2 linked regions of the Rhinolophus ferrumequinum genome follow. The protein of the gene in region 1 interacts with the protein of each later gene in a pairwise test. Links are inferred from orthologs where the notes say so. Each region holds a gene or a part of one and is shown on either strand. Other genes may lie near its edges.

Region 1 (7,778 bases):
GCCCAGGCCTGGGTGTGAAAAGGTCTGGACTCCCCCTGTCAACATGTGCAACAGCAGCACACTGAGAACTCATTTACATTTTGGCTCTGCTACCAACCAGCTGTGTGGCTTTGGGCGACTCTGGGTCTCTGATTCTCCATTTGTAAAATGAAGGGTTTGGACTAGTGATTCCCACATTTCCTTTTATCATAAAAGTCCCTTGATTACCAGTGACGTACTTTAGCCTCATTTGCCTCCTCTTTAAAGCAGAGAGAGTAATATCTGCTTTTCTACTTCATAGGGAGGGGGCGAACGTGCTCAATAAGCCTTAAAACACAACACAAATGTTAGCTAGCATCATTATCATCATTAGACTTCTTTATTCAGTTCTCTTTCTTCAGAGCAAGTTTCATGTCTTTTACCATTTGTGTAAGGAGTCATTCAGTGCCTTACAGGAACTCCTAAAAATTCAGTCCTTGGTCTGAGGAAACAGGATGTCAGCTCAGGTAAATGAAGTTGTTGTAAATGACAGTAGCATTTGAAAGTTCTTTGGAAGGAAGTGGGCTAAGACCTCTCTCAGTCCTCAAACGGAGATGGCCTCTTCTGGCCTCAGTGCTTAGTACAGAACTCGGGTTCTCAAATGCGGCTTTGCCTAAACAACGAAAAGGCCTTGGAGAGTTCCAAGGACAATAGTAATTTGAGGTGCTTATCTTTTGCCTAGCATCTGTGCATTTCCAAGTAATTTACCCACATTGACTCATTAGCACTCCCAACCCTACATCAACTTTCTTTGCTTTCACCTTTGGGTTGAAGGGATGTGATATTCTCTGAGCTTTGAATTCAGAGAAAGCCCTTGAGTTGAGAGTGACAGCCCTTCTGCCCACACTTGGTGGAATTCTCCTCTGCCACTGGTGGCAAACCCTCTCTTGTCCCACACTACCACCACTCTGGTAGTGCCATGTCAGTGCCTTGCCTACCATCACATGGTGTCAGAACTCGATTGGCTCCTTAAGGACTACCTGCCGTGGCTAACTCCTTCTTTCACAGTGCAAGAAATTGAAGCATTCAGTTGACCCAGAGAGGGGAAGTGAAATGCCCAAAGCAACACAGTTAGTTAGGGACATAATAACTTAAGAGGCAACAACTAGAAACTATCCTCCATCTTCACCCATATACACCCTAACAAACCAAACATTCTTTTCTTTGTATTCCTCTGGGCATCTCAATAGTGCTTAATCCTGAGAGGTATGGGGTGCAGGGAAGACATTATGCATGTCTGTCACACAGCATGCAGTTTCCATTGCCACCTCTGAAGAGCTATCTCATCCTGGACAACACTAGTGTCCCTTCTTCTCCTAAACTGGAATGGGTCATTCTTTTTTTTTTTTAAACTTTTATTTGTGAGTGTGTTTTTCTAGGAACCATCAGCTCCAAGTCAAGTAGTTGTTTCAATCTAGTTGTGGAGGGCGTAGCTCACACTGGCCCATGTGGGGATTGAAATGGCAACCCTGGTGTTACGAGCATCGCGCTCTAACCAACTGAGCTAACCTGCCGCCCCTGGAATGGGTTATTCTTAAGGGAAATGGAAATTGTAATTCCATCATTCTGGGTAGAATGAGTTAAGGCAGGGGTGTCCAAACTGTGGCCCGCGGGCCAACTGCGGTCCGCAATACATTTTTTATTGGCCCGCAGCAAATTCCAAAAATATATTTAGTTTACTTAAATAAACCAGGTGAGGCAATACGTACTTCACCTCGAGTGAGTGGCCCGGCTGTTTGTGTATTTTACTGCATATGGCCCTTGGTAAAAAACGTTGAAAAAAGTTTGGACACCCCTCAGTTAAGGAGAAGGGCTCTCTCCTTTTCTCTCACCCAGCAGCTAAATTAATATAAGCCCATAGGCACAGGGCTTCAGGAAATAGAAAATCAATTTGTGAGCAATTATAATGTGAAATGAAAATGTACGTTGTGGCTCAGAAGCCTGGGCAGACATTACCTACCATAAGGTAGAATATAATGATACCTTTGGCCAAAAACAAAGCTTAATCAGCTCTGTACTTTTCCCAGAACAGGCATACAATAAATATTTGGAAATTGATTTGGTGGGCAAACATTCTTCTCACTTGGATACTTTTCCATTTGCAAGCTTATTTTTTAAAAAATTTTTTATTCTATTTTAGTGTTTAGGAAAGGGGCAGGTGGCCAGTGTTCAATACAGCTGGAAGGAATGTTAGTGATAGTGGCTGTCATCTATATTTTCCAAACTAATTTCTAAGTAACATTGATTCTGCGTATCTTGGAAAAAAAGGGGGGTTCTGTATAAATAAGTTGGGGAAACGCTACTTAGCTTCCTACTCTGGTTCCAGAAGATTCTTAAGGCACATTAGCTTATTAAAGAAACTGAGAAGAGTTGGGGGAAAAGCAGTTTTAACTTTGTTAAAACAATTTCCAAGTCGATTTGATTATGGAACAGTCTCTCCCCATTTTTCTTATGATATCCGTTAAAGTTCAACAAAATTCACGTTCTTTAGAAAATACCTTGGGAATTACTAATTGAACCCAATTTCTGAATTTTACTGGTGAAAAAAACAGAGGTCCTGAGAGGGGCTGAACTTCTTACAGGTAATTAGTGGGGGAGCTAGGACTAGAATCCCATTTCCTGACTGCCTGGTCAACTACACCCAACTAGAGGGGCATTCCCTAAGGTGGGTTCTGGGATGCCAGTCATCATGTGTAGTCCTCGAGAAAATGGTTAAAAAGGATATGAACATTTTACTCCACAGTGAGTCCTTTTGGGGCAATTTGGTAAAAGATAGAGGTTGTTTCAGGTGCTTTAAAAATGGGTAATTGTATCCTACTCTTTTGTTATTGCACAGATCTTAGGGTGCCTGCCCATTGCAGCCTGGATATTCCATAGGTGCTTAATAAATGAGTAAATGAAAGAACCTAGCAGGGGTCAGAGGAGGTTGGAGGCTGGGAGGAAAAAGGAAAGGGTCAGCAACTGAGAAGGAGTGTGAAAAGGAAAAAAGTGGAAAAAGAGAGGGGTGGATGAAAAAAAAGGAACCAGTAGTCACTGATCAGCAGAGAATAGTTGAGCCCTGGCAGAGAAAGGGAAGGAGATAGCAGCTGCAGGTGATTGAAAAACAAAACTGAGTGACCAGGAAACTTTGCTTTCAGAAAGTAAGAGTGACTCATGAGGCTAATTCAGATGCTGACCATGCCAGGAGTCACCTGCCCGGAGATGGGGATGAGCACCAACTGCTGAGAACCACTGTGAACTCAGCTCAAGCTGTACTTCCTTCACGGGTATAATACATGTGCAAGGCGTCTTCTTAAGCACTACAACAATAACAGATGAGTAAGACCCAGGTCTTGCCGTCAACAAGGTGACAGTCTAACAGAGAGAAGAGCTAGGACGGGGACTCAGATAACATAATGCCAAGTAGAATGTAATCAGTGCCCCCCGAGGTACAACGAGGCAATACTGTGAGGATTCAGGAGACAGGAAGATCACATCAAATCACCAGGCTAAAAAGGCCTAGGTGGAGAGCCATGAGGCATGGAGAGGATTGGATCAGGCGATGATGGGAGATAGGAGGAGAGACATTTCAAGGTGATATAATAAAGAACCATCAAGAGGTGGGGAAGCATATGGTACAGTGAGTGGTCCAAGTGGGTTCCAGCCAAGGGTGCGTGGGGGCTGGGAGGGGTGTGGATAGACGTGGCCTGGAGGTTATACTGAGGGGCCCTGAATGCTTGGCTGAGGTACTCACGCTCCAGGCAGGCAATGGGAAGCTAGTGAATTTTGTGTGTGTGTGTGTGTGTGTGTGTGTGCAGAGAAATAATATTAGAGATGATTCCCAGGAAGGTTGACTGGGCAGAAGCTCGCCTGGTCCAGGGGGAAGGCAGTTTGGTTCTGGAGAGACCAACAGACTATTCAGGTGTTGCATATCAGATGACTGTTAAATATTGATCGAGTCTTCTTAAAGCACAGAGACAGCAGAAGGTTCTGGTCATTACCTCAGGGGATAGGGAACTAGGAAGAATGAGAGGAAAATACTAGCTAAGGAGAACACAGCCATGAGGAAAAGACAGAACGGCCACGGGAGGCAGAAATTTCCATAAGGAAATTATAGTCATGGTTGAGAAACCCAGCCTTGGAGTCAGGTGTGTGTGAATTTGAAGCCCTGTGGCCTGATTAGTTATGATTGGTAAAGGGACTTCAAAGAGTTTTTGAGTGTTTCCTCATCTATGAAATGGGAGTGATTTCCGTCTCAAACGGTTGACAGCATTTGCTGAGATAGTCCCTAACATGGAGTTTGCACACTGTAGGAACCAAGAAGTGATCAGGAGCCAGCTAGAGAAGGAATTGTCAAGATTAAGCGTATTCCCGACGAGTGTCCCGATTTGGAGGCAGGGAACCTCAGGAAGCCCAAAGCCTTTACTTTACTTTAGCAGAGTTTGCTGACTGCCGTGTGAAGGGAATAGGTGAGCATGTCAAGGGAGTCTCAGCCTAGTTTCCACCCCCAGGAACTGCCCTTTCGCCCACGCTTCCATCCCACCGCGCCTCCCCGGCTCCCCCTACTCGGGCTGCCGGCCCAGCTCCCACTCCCGCGAATCCGGGGAGCCAGATGCGCATGCGCCTTCCTGCGCCCCTGCCCAGCTGTCCACGTTTCACTTCCCTCCCTTTTCCTCCGCAGCTCCCGCTCTACCTCCACGATTGGCCAGCCGACCTCCTCTCCTCGGCCAATAAACGCCGACCTCTCGCCCCCGTGTTACTGGGTAGAACAAAACAAAAACAAACAGAGCGAGAGGGGCAGAGACTCTCAGAGGCGGCGTAGAGGCTGAGGACTGGGGTTAGGCCGGTGGACCAGGGACTTGGGCGAACGGCGGCGGCGGCGGTCCGAGGGGTCAGTACCTGCGGCGCGGCTCGCACGCTGGGGAGGACTGCGCCCTCTCCCCAAGCCCCGGTCTCTCCTCGGAGCCAGACGCACGTTGGGGGGGGGAGGGGGCGTGGAGGCCGTGGCCCCGGCTGGCCAGGTCCAGGTCCGCGGGCGGGGGTCCGGCCCCCTCCTTCGAGCCCCGCAGGCCCAGCCGCGTCGGCCCCAACGCCCCGGGCTACGGAGAACCGGCCCCGGTTCCCTCCTTCTAGGCTCGGGCCCGGAGCGCGGCGGCGCGGGCCCGCCTCCGCCCGGACCCCCTCCCCGCTTAGCCGGGCGCGCGGGGCGCCCCTCGGCGAGGGTCTCCTCCTCGTCCCCGCGAAGGCCAAGGTTTCATTTTTATTTGGGGTGGGGGACGTCGGGAGGCGCGTTTCTGGCCTGACTGAAATCTTGCGAGGAAGGTTTGCGCCCGCCCCGCCCCCCTGGCTTCCTTGGGGGCCCACTGAAGAGGCGCCCCCCGGCCGGGCCTGCCCAGACCCAGACCCAGGCCCTGCGCCTGCCGGTGTCCTGGAGCCCAGGCCCGGCCCAACACCCCCCGAGGGCCGGTCGGGCCTGCGTCGGCGGCGGGGAAGCGGGCCCGGCCGCTACGGATGGGGCCGCGCGCGCTCCGGCGGGCGCTGCGAGGCGGACACGTGCCCGCCGCTCGGCCCTGCGCTAACTTCGCCGCGCCCCTCCTCCGGCAAAGGATTGTCTTTTTCTAGTTTAAATGAAATCTCCCCGAGAAAACAAAGACAGGAAGGGAGCCCCCTTTCTGTGAGATGCATGCTGTGTCTGCTGCATTTGTCAATTTGGTGCTGCAGTGTACACAGTGAGGGTTTTTAATTTCTTTTTACAAGAGCTTCAGAAGGGTCTGCGGCGTCAGTATCGCCGGTCTCCGGGTGTCCTTGAGACAACTGGCTACAGAGCCAGCAACGGTGTACTATCTACAATAGATGATTAAAACGATTAAAAATGCAGCTTCGTTTGTGGGGTGGGGGAACCCCTGCCTGTTGTTACTTGTGTTTTCACTGTTGAGTTGTAGTTATTTTGGCTTTCTTGCGAATGTAAGGCTTTTTAGGAAACCACCGTATACTTTTTTTTTAAAAAAGGAACCACTGCAGATACGTTCTAAATGTAATTATTGGTATTTATGTCCTTAACTTTCCCTCATTATAAGTTTATTAAATTCCTTAATATTTCAGCAGGCATCTTTGAATTATATTTTGATTTTTTTTTCTGTTGTAGTAATAAGAAAAATAGTTGCTAGGAGTGCATTAAATAAATGACACTGATATTTTCTGTAGTGCTCAATTTTGAATCATTGTGGTTAAATAATTTCAGTTGATTTTAAGTTGCTAATTAACTGTGATTGTAACCCTGGATGAATACAAATAATTTTCTAGTTAACATGGGGACTAACCTTGACTCCAAAAATTGTCAGAGCGTTTATCAGGTATATTTCAGGAAATAGATTTTTGGGGGGTTGGGGGAGGATGAGGCTTTTTAAGGGAATGGTGTGGCTGTTGAATACTTCTGATTGAATGTTTCTGTGAAACTTTTGAGAAATGAGAACAATGTTTAATTTCAGCCTTAATTTTGTCTAACTTATGTATAGTTTTGTTTTCTTATTGCAAATTAATTTTGTCGTTTAGTATGAAGGATGTGGAATTTAGATTTTTTTGCTTTACATTTTCTGAAGTTTGGGGCAAAAATTTTAAGGGTTGTTAAGTAAACTAGATAAAAACCCCCCTACTTTGAAGCAAGTTAAAATATGGAACATACCTTTATCATTATCTAAACTCTTAAAACTTCTGTGATGCTCTCAAGTGTAACTGAGTTCTTGATTGCGTTATCATTGCCTGAAGACACAGATGGCTATTTTATGATTACTTAATAAAAACAAACTTGGTGAGTTATAGGTAATAGTCATTACCTGGTCATTTTCTTCGCCCAACTGAATGCCTTCTGTATAATAGTTTAAAATAAATGTTATTTTTAATGTTTGGGAAGCAGTATATAAAAATTTTATATAAACAGTAGGAGTCTTATGTTTTCATAAGCTTTTCTCTGTTAACCTTAAAAAGAATCTTCCTGTGGGATACTAAAATCTTGTATTGAACTTGTGCAAACAGACCTGGATCTAGAAGGTCTAGGTTTTTAATTCTGGTTTTTCCACTGAGCAGCTGAGTCTCTGGACAGATCACCTACCTTCTCTGAATCTGTTTTGTGTGCACGGTGGGGTACCTAGCTCAAGATTGTTCTGAGAGGTACATGAAATAATGCATGTAAAATTCATTTTGAATTATAAAGGGCTTTGTAAACCAGTTATAATCACTTCATTTCCTTTATTAGCTAGGTTCTGCAGAAGTATTTTCTCAAAAGATTATACTTGCATCAAGTATGAACTTTTTAATGTAACTGTAGTGTAAAAAACTCATACACACATTATATAACCTTTTCACTTCACTGTAATTGAAATGAAATAGATAGGGCATTTTCAGCCATGGAGGACTCTCAATGTTGAGGTTTGCCAACTATTTGTTCATATACCTAGGTGCATATGTTTCTAAGGTTATTTCCCCCCCCAAATCCAGAGTTGGTGCAAATTGTGACTCTATATAAATATCTTTCAATATCATATGTCTGTTTATTCTGAACAGAATTAGAGTGATGTCACCATTTTGTTAATTTCTGAAGCAGTTTGGTAGCATTTTAGTAGACCAAGGATTACCGTATTTTGCCATGTATAATGCACACTTTTTTTGCCCTAATTTGTGAGGGAAAAATAAGGATGCACGTTGTACAAGTGTAGTACTAATTCTGTATCTGTATAAATGTTTTTAAAAATTCTTTTATGCTTATAAGTTAAAAGTGTAACTCT
Region 2 (8,023 bases), on another chromosome or scaffold:
GTCAATTCTTCCTTTTTCACCAGAATTCGAATTGGATCTCTCATGAATTTTTTGGTCACTTCCAATACATCAGTTGGCATTGTAGCAGAAAGCAACACCACCTTAAAAAGACAATGATGTTGTCACACAAGTAGCCCAACTTTCAAAATATTCAAGAAAACATGTTTGAGACCAAGCGTCTCTGTCTTGCTATGGAATTGTGCTAGACAGAGATAGTTTTGCATCAATTGCTGTAAGCAGGGGGAACGACAATAAAACACTTCAGTTGTATTGTAACAATACCTGCATTAAACAATCTCCAGATATGGGTGAAAGGTAAAGCTCACCTGAATACTTGTATTTAATTTTTGGAAAATCTCATAGATTTGATCCTTAAACCCTCGGCTCAACATTTCATCTGCTTCATCCAAAACAAACATTTTGATCCATTTTGGAGCTGTCAAAAACAAAGTCATACTATCACTTCTAGATTCTCAGGGATACTATTTGTGTTTATTTATAATAGCAAAAAAAATGTACGCTCTCAATAGACAGTACTTACAAAGATATCTTCTGTTTAACATATCAAACACTCTCCCTGGTGTGCCAACAACAATATGTGGTGCTTCAGCCTGCAGTTTTTGCATTTCATTTCTAACATTGGTTCCACCAATGCAGGCATGACAAGTTGCTCCCATGTAGTCTCCAAGTGCCAGGATTACCTTTTGGATCTAAAAGCAAAGAGCCTTAATTATTTTCCAGCAGAATTACAGGCTGTGATTAAACTTTTAAAGCATAATGGCAAATATCTGGTCTGCAAACAGCTTTTATGCATGCAACACACTTAACTACTTCCAAGCTTAATATGCAGACTGATCTAACTGCTTCAAGGTAAAATTCCCTTAAAATACTTCTTGTACCTTGTCAAACTTAGGATCCTGTTGCCCCAGGTACCAGCTAGATTTATAACTAAAAACATTTCCTTCGTTACTCTTCATTGTGTAGGAAGGTGTAAATAGTGGGATCAAGCTCTGCAATTACAACCTAGACAAGATACTTTTCCCACAGGGCAGTAACATATAATCTTGACTTTAACAAAGCCTAGCTTTATTAGCGAGGTTTCCTTCAAAGCCAATATAGATAGCAGTGAGCTTTGAAAACATCGTGCACCAGATGCATCACAAACTGAGACAGTCAAGTGATAACATGTCACTGCAGTTTTCATGTTGCACAACTGCATTCAAAAAAATAGGAATCTAGTCCACCCTAAACAGAAAGCTTTGGTTTCTCCATTATAACCCTGTGAACCATACCTGCACACCCAGTTCCTATTTACTTTCAACAAAAACTCCCTGCATGCACGGACAGTTAAGAGGGCTCTGATAGGACCAATTTATACTAAGCTTTAAATTTTTCAGTTGTGAAACTTGAACCTATGCAACACGCAAGCAGTTTTTTTGAACTACACTATCAATACCTGTTGAGCCAGTTCTCTGGTGGGGGCCAATACTAGTGCTTGGGTCTCCTTGAACTCAATCTCCAACTGTTGCAGGATGGAAATAGCAAATGTGGCTGTCTTGCCAGTACCTGACTGAGCTTGAGCAATCACATCATACCCTAAAAAAAGTAGGATACATATTTACCGATCCCACATCAAAAAGTCAATTCTAGTTCACACCATGTATTCCATTTGGAACATGAATTATGCCCAAATAATTAAGTGATCAGCAATGAGTATTCTCTTCATTTCAGGTCAGTCCCGAAAGATGATTGCCATCATTTCACTTTAAGGAATACAAATAGGTGCTAGACCCCCAGAAGTTATTTTCCCTTTTATGGTGCAGGTCTATGTAAAACAATGAATTTTTTTTAAACTGCCGAGTTCTTTTACCTTTAATACAAGGAATAATAGCTCTCTGCTGAATAGCTGAAGGCTTCTCAAAACCATAAGCATAGATGCCCCGAAGAAGAGACTCCTTTAAATTCATATCGTCAAAGTTATCAACAATTTCATTCCAGTTGCTCTATAAATTAAAAATAAGTAAAAATAAATAGTATGAACAAACTCACCTTTCCAGAATTTCAAAATCCACACACAATTTCTTACCTCGATGACACCATCGGGGTCCATTCCCTCTGGGCCGCCATGTTCTCTGCAAAGAACACTGCAGTTAGATTAACAAGCCATCCTAACTGCACATGAGGGGATAGCCCTTTACAACCAGTCTATCAGGTTACCCTCCTCCTGCACGTGTGCATTTCCTACTAAAAAAGCAATGGAAGCTGGTGGCACAGGGCACATAATTTACTGTGCACCTGCCCAAAGGTTGAGAACGCAGGACGGACGGCAAGGCCCCACGGACACTGGCTTTCCCCCAAGCCCTTGCGCCAGGTGCTGCCGTCTCGGCGGCGGGCCGTCTCGCGAGAGGTCCACGCGCTGAGCTCCGCCCCTAACACTGCGCAAGCCGGGGTGATTGACGCGGGCCGAGGCCTGGCGAAGGCCATGCCAACGGCTCGCCGAGACCCCGTTGCTGGTCTGGTCCCAGCGCGCCTTTTGGCCGCGGCGAGTGGGCGCCGCTGTCACCCTCCCCGCACCCCACCTTCAGTCTAACATTTCAATCGCGCGGTTCGCTGCAAATAAAGCTTTGGGCCCCGGTTACACTGTACCGAATGCGGACTGCGCCACGGCTTTAACTAAGTGTCGGGCTCCGTACGGGCAGGGGAAGCAGCCGAGATCTAAAAGGATCTTCAGGAAAAAAAGACACCCTTCAACCACTCCATTTTCGTACCCTTATCTCGTGTCCCCTCGCTCAGGGGCTCTACCCATCATGGAAGCTTCTCGAAGGACACAGGGGTACCTTACCCCAAGGAAATGCCTATGAACCCGGCGTTCCCTGACTCCACGCCAGCTACTACAATTTCCTCTGGCGCCATTTGACCTTCACCACAAAACAGCACCAACGAAAATGCCCTGTACCTGTTATAATCCGCGGAGCCACCAGACATGTTCCGAAAAACCACTCAGCGCCCGACTGAAAAGACAGTCAGACCGCCCCACCCGTTTTTTATAGGCTCGTGGCCGGAACCCGTTTTCTGCGGAGGAATTTTCTCGTCGTTCTTCATTAGCCACAAAATTGTGGCCCTGGTGTCCTTACCTCAGAAAGTGTCCTCAGAAGGTCGGTGGGAAAATCCAAGTTGGTTATGTCAAGATATTACAGGGACGCTGGGAATCCCAGGACCGTAGGAGAAGGATGGGACTCTTTGCTTGGCGGCGGAAGAATATTGCAGCAAGCGGCGCCGACCCGCGTTCCCCTCCCTCCCTGCTCCTACGGGGTTTCCGCGTCCCTGAAGCAGAGGCGGCCCCGGGGAGCCGGGCAGGACCGGGAGGCGGAAGCCCGAGGCGCGCTGCACTCTGGCTGGCCCGGGCGTCCCCGGGGGCAGGAGGGCCCGGGCTCATTTTTCGCCGCTGGCGCTTGGTGCGGAGAGGCAGGCACCTCCACGTTCTGCTCTAGAGGGAGATCGGGTTTTTCCGCCCGATTAAATAGCTGCGGGGAAAGGTTATTTAGTCAGACGGTAAAGAGCCGCTTGGCTTTGAGCCCGAGCGTTTAACATCCGTTCCGATTGTAAAAGTGTGAAACTCTTGCTAGGGAAAATGTCGGCCACCTAGCACGTCCCAGAAAACCGGGTTTACCCTGTATTGTGCAGGGCGAGAAAAACCGTGTGTCATTTGCAAATGTCTCTGGAGTAGACAATTCGATTCTCACGTTGCTTCTAGTCTTCTCTCGCTCTTTAAAATAATGCTAATAATTTTAACAGGTGTGAGGAATACCTGATAAAGTCATTGTAAACTTTTGCAAACATATAATAGCTAAGGAGGATTACTTTTCCTTGTAACGCAAGAATTTAAATGGATGCTTCTGACAGATACAGCTCCTTGCTGCTTTGGGACTAGATAGGTTTTGACTCTGGTCATTAAAAAAACTAAACAAATTGAATTTAATTGCTTATACATTATGAATATTGATTTGCTGAAGATGAGAGCAACACAACCCTTGCTGCTTGAATAAACTGCCTGATTCTTTAAGCTCCTTGAAGTTTTCAACTGTAGCTCTAACCGAGGCCTGTTGGTAAAAAAAAAAAAAAAAAAAAATGTATTTAGTATTTAGTCATTTAACTTTAAAATACAATCCTACACATGCTGCAAGATATCATCACAAATATTCAGGAAAACATTTTCTCATTAATTCGGAAGACCAACCAAAAGTCTGATAACTGTAAAAACTGACGCTTAATTTTCTACATTTGTATATCATATTTGATATATTTGGTTATAAATACCACATGTATTTTTTAAATCATTAATTTATTTATTTGAAAATTATTATCGTGCCAGGAACTGTGACAGAAACTAATACCATGATCACAAAGTGGACTTGGCTGTCAGTCTAGTGATGCTATCCATCCCCCTGTAATGCTGAAATGCAGATTTGAGGTAATGCCAGACATTTTCTAGGAAAGGAAGTCAGAGATCCTTATTGTCTCATGTAAAACCTACTGAAAAATCTTCTGGGATCTAACAAAGTGGAGAAAATACTAAATCAGGAAAGTGACCAACCATTTAGTCTCACTTAAGTCTTTAGGGTGAAATCACTCAGTCATAGGGTGAAATCAATTAATACCTCATGGTTGAGTGTTTTAGGTTTAGCACTACCATTGCAAGCTGTGGAGGATTTCCAGAGTCTCTTAAGAGGAAATAATCGAAGGCTAATCTCTGGTTTAGGTCACAGTGGTTCAAGTTGTTTTAAGGAAAGAAAGTTTCATAATTTAAAATTCAGTCAAAATCCAGAGCCTGCAACCCTACAATGTATTTCTAATGAATGGTGTGCTCACCACATTTGTATTTGCTTACTAAATAGCATTAAGTAATAAATGAGTTAAAGACTTAAAACATACACAAGTTTTGCAAATCAATTTAGAGCATACTCTTGTACCGTTGAGATAAATTTTTCTACTTAACTGAGATCTGAAATTAGATAGCCTTCTCGGAGACAACCACAAATGCTTTGGTGCTAACCTGGAGTCTGGAGGCCATTTATATTTCAAATGATGCTAAAAATCAGATTCCTTCCTTATGTGAGCCCCCCTAGTTTAGATTTGCTCTTCAGTATCATCAGCTGACAGTCCTAAACCCATCTAGCAATTGTAAGCCAATTGTCACCAAATGAATCAAGGAATTAGTACAAATTTGTCAGTATGACATGGAAAAACAATAACAAAACCTTTAAGAGTATGCTTTATGTTGTTAGTGACATCTTTCTATAGAAAATACCATGTATTTTCATCATTCAGGGAGTGTTGTGTGCCATCTTGAGGTTCTCACATTATTTCAAGTCCATCAATTGATTTGAAGTGATAGCTGTACATTTAAAGCAGTGTCTTGATAAGCTTTTGATATGCAAAAGTTTGTTAAGGTATGTGTTTTGGATCTTCAACTCATTTATTACTTATTAATGTCATTTATTATTTAGCAAACACCTAGTATAATACATGCTGTCCCTCCATCTATAATTTAAATGTTTAAAAAGAACTGCCTTGAGCCGGATAAAGACAGTAGTACTACTCATCTCTTTCAGTTGCTGGAGGAAATTAGAGGCTAGATTGTGCTTGAATGTAGGCAGTGTCCACTGAAGCAATTTGGAGGGTGACACTCAGTGTCATGTGCTTTACAATAACTTTTAAAGCCATTTACATAAAAATAGGTAAAGATTTTAATAGAGTTGAAGAAAATGGAGAAAATTGAAGAGGACCATGGAAAGGACTTGAGCTATGTAAAGACTGAGTTTAAATCCATTAATTCAAGATTATTAAACTCTATTGTGTAACCAAGATATGATTAGACGTTTTTCTAGCTTTACCCTTATAAAGACTAAAATAAAAATACATTACTGTACTTCAATTCAGTACATCTATAACTGGTATGCATAAAAATCAAAGGGGAGATGTATTTGAAAGGCAGATACATGTGGACTCTGCACTCCCACCCAGATTCAGGAGATCTGATCTGAGGTGGAGCCAGCTTTTTACTTTGAAAAATTCTAAACTTAAAGAAAAGTTGCAAGAATAAAGCAGTGGATACCAAGTACTTGTTACACTTACCAACTGTTAACGGTTTAATACATTTACTCTCTCTCTTATATTTATCTATGACTTTTTTTTAACTTTCTGAAAGTCACAGACATAGTAGTGTCATTTTATTCCTAATAAAGTAATTCAGCACTGCATCCTAAAAACAAAGATATTCTCCTTTCGTAAAAACCAAACAATCCTATTAGAACATGAGCAAAAGACATGAAAAGACGTTTCACTGAAGATGATTTACAGATGACAAATAAGCACATGAGAAGATGTTTAGCATTATGAGCCATTTGAGAAATGCAAATAAAAACCACAGTGAGATATCACTATACATCTACTGGAATGGCTAAAATAAAAAATAGTGACAACACCAAATTCCAGCAAGGATGCCGAGAAACTACATCAGTCATACATTGTTAGTGGGAATATAAAATGGTACAGCCACTCTAGGATCAGTTTGGCAGTTTCTTAACAAAAAACTAAATGTGCAACTACAATATGATGTAACAGTTTCACTCCTGGGCATTCACTCCTGGGCATATGAGAAATGAAGACGTATGCTCACACAAAGATTTGTGCATGAATGGACATAGCAGCTTTATTTACAATCGCCAAAAGCTGGAAAAATTCACATGTCTTTCAATGGGTGAATGGTTAAGCTGTGATTATATCTATACCATGGAATACTAAGTAATAAAAAGGAAGGATCCGTTTATTGATACACACACAACCTGGATGAATCTTTAGACTATTATGCTGAGTGGGGAAAAAACAAAACAATCTCAAACGGTTACATACTACATGATTTCATTTATATAATATTCTTGAGAAGACAAAATTATAGAAATGGAGAGCTGGTTAGTGGTTGCCAGGGTTTAAGGAGGGGGTGGGGCAGTACAGAAGTGAGTGTGGCTATAAAAGGTGAATAAGAGACATCCTTGTGGTGAGGGAAATGTTCATATTTTGACGATATCACTGTCAATATCCTGGTTGTGATGTATTGTAGTTTTCTAAGATGTTACTTACCATTGGGGGAAATGGGAAAGAGTACATGTCTGATCTTACAACTGTATGTGATCTACAATTATCTCAAAAATTAAAAGTTTAATTAAAAAATAGAGGTGCTTCCACAATCTTTCCAGCTCTTAGTCAGAGAGGCCCAGAGATAATGCCTACCCAAGAAGAACCCCAAGTTCAGTTCAAATTTGTATTGGTTGGTGATAATGGGACTAGGAAAATTACATTTGTGAAACATCATCTGACTGGTGAATTTGAGAAGTATGTAGCTACCTTGGGTCTTGAGGTTCATATCCGTGTGTCTATACCAACAGAGGACCTATTAAGTTTAATGTATGGGATACAGCTGGTCAGGAGAAATTTGGTGGATGGAAAGATGTCTACTACATCCAAGCCCAGTGTGCCATTAAAGTGTTTGATGTAACTTTGAGAGTTACTTAGAAGAATGTGCCTACCTGGCATAGAGATCTGGTAGGAATATGTGAAAACATCCCATCATGTTATGTGGCAACAAAGTAGCTATTATGGACAGAAAAGTTAAGGCAAAATCAATTATCTTCCACCAAAAGAAGAATCTTCAGTTACTTTCTGCCAAAAGTAACTACAACTCTGACAAACCCTTCCTCTGGCTTGCTAGAAAACTCATGGAGACCCCAACTTGGAGTTGGTTGCCATGCCTGTTCTTGCCCCACCAGAGGTTGCCATGGACTCAGCCTTGGCAGCCCAATGTGAGCATGATCTAGAGGTTGCTCAGACAACTCCTTTCCCAGATGAGGGTGATGACCCGTGAGAAAGGGAAGCTGGAGCCCAACATCAGAAGTCTAGTGGTATAGGCAACTGTCCTGTGATGTCAGTGGTGCTGCTTGTTTGCCACTTTATTAAATAGCTAAGC

Evidence for each region.
Region 2: the proteins of PDCD4 (region 1) and EIF4A2 interact in binary tests that used the Homo sapiens proteins (3 or more experiments, as listed by UniProt). The two-hybrid records come from large-scale screens. The link is inferred for Rhinolophus ferrumequinum from reciprocal best matches to the Homo sapiens genes PDCD4 and EIF4A2.

Annotation. Positions count from the first base shown.
Region 1 is NC_046299.1:16,476,437-16,484,214, reverse strand, and holds the start of PDCD4 (programmed cell death protein 4), read left to right. Parts: upstream 1-4,737; 5' UTR 4,738-4,888; intron 4,889-5,706; exon of another isoform or gene 5,707-5,726; intron 5,727-7,778. UniProt on the Homo sapiens protein: Inhibits translation initiation and cap-dependent translation. May excert its function by hindering the interaction between EIF4A1 and EIF4G. Inhibits the helicase activity of EIF4A. Modulates the activation of JUN kinase.
Region 2 is NC_046285.1:58,773,837-58,781,859, forward strand, and holds the start of EIF4A2 (eukaryotic initiation factor 4A-II), read right to left. Parts: upstream 3,013-8,023; 5' UTR 2,986-3,012; coding exon 2,957-2,985; intron 2,145-2,956; coding exon 2,087-2,144; intron 2,004-2,086; coding exon 1,871-2,003; intron 1,767-1,870; exon of another isoform or gene 1,698-1,766; intron 1,597-1,697; coding exon 1,457-1,596; intron 711-1,456; coding exon 542-710; intron 437-541; coding exon 327-436; intron 289-326; exon of another isoform or gene 162-288; intron 102-161; coding exon 1-101. UniProt on the Homo sapiens protein: ATP-dependent RNA helicase which is a subunit of the eIF4F complex involved in cap recognition and is required for mRNA binding to ribosome.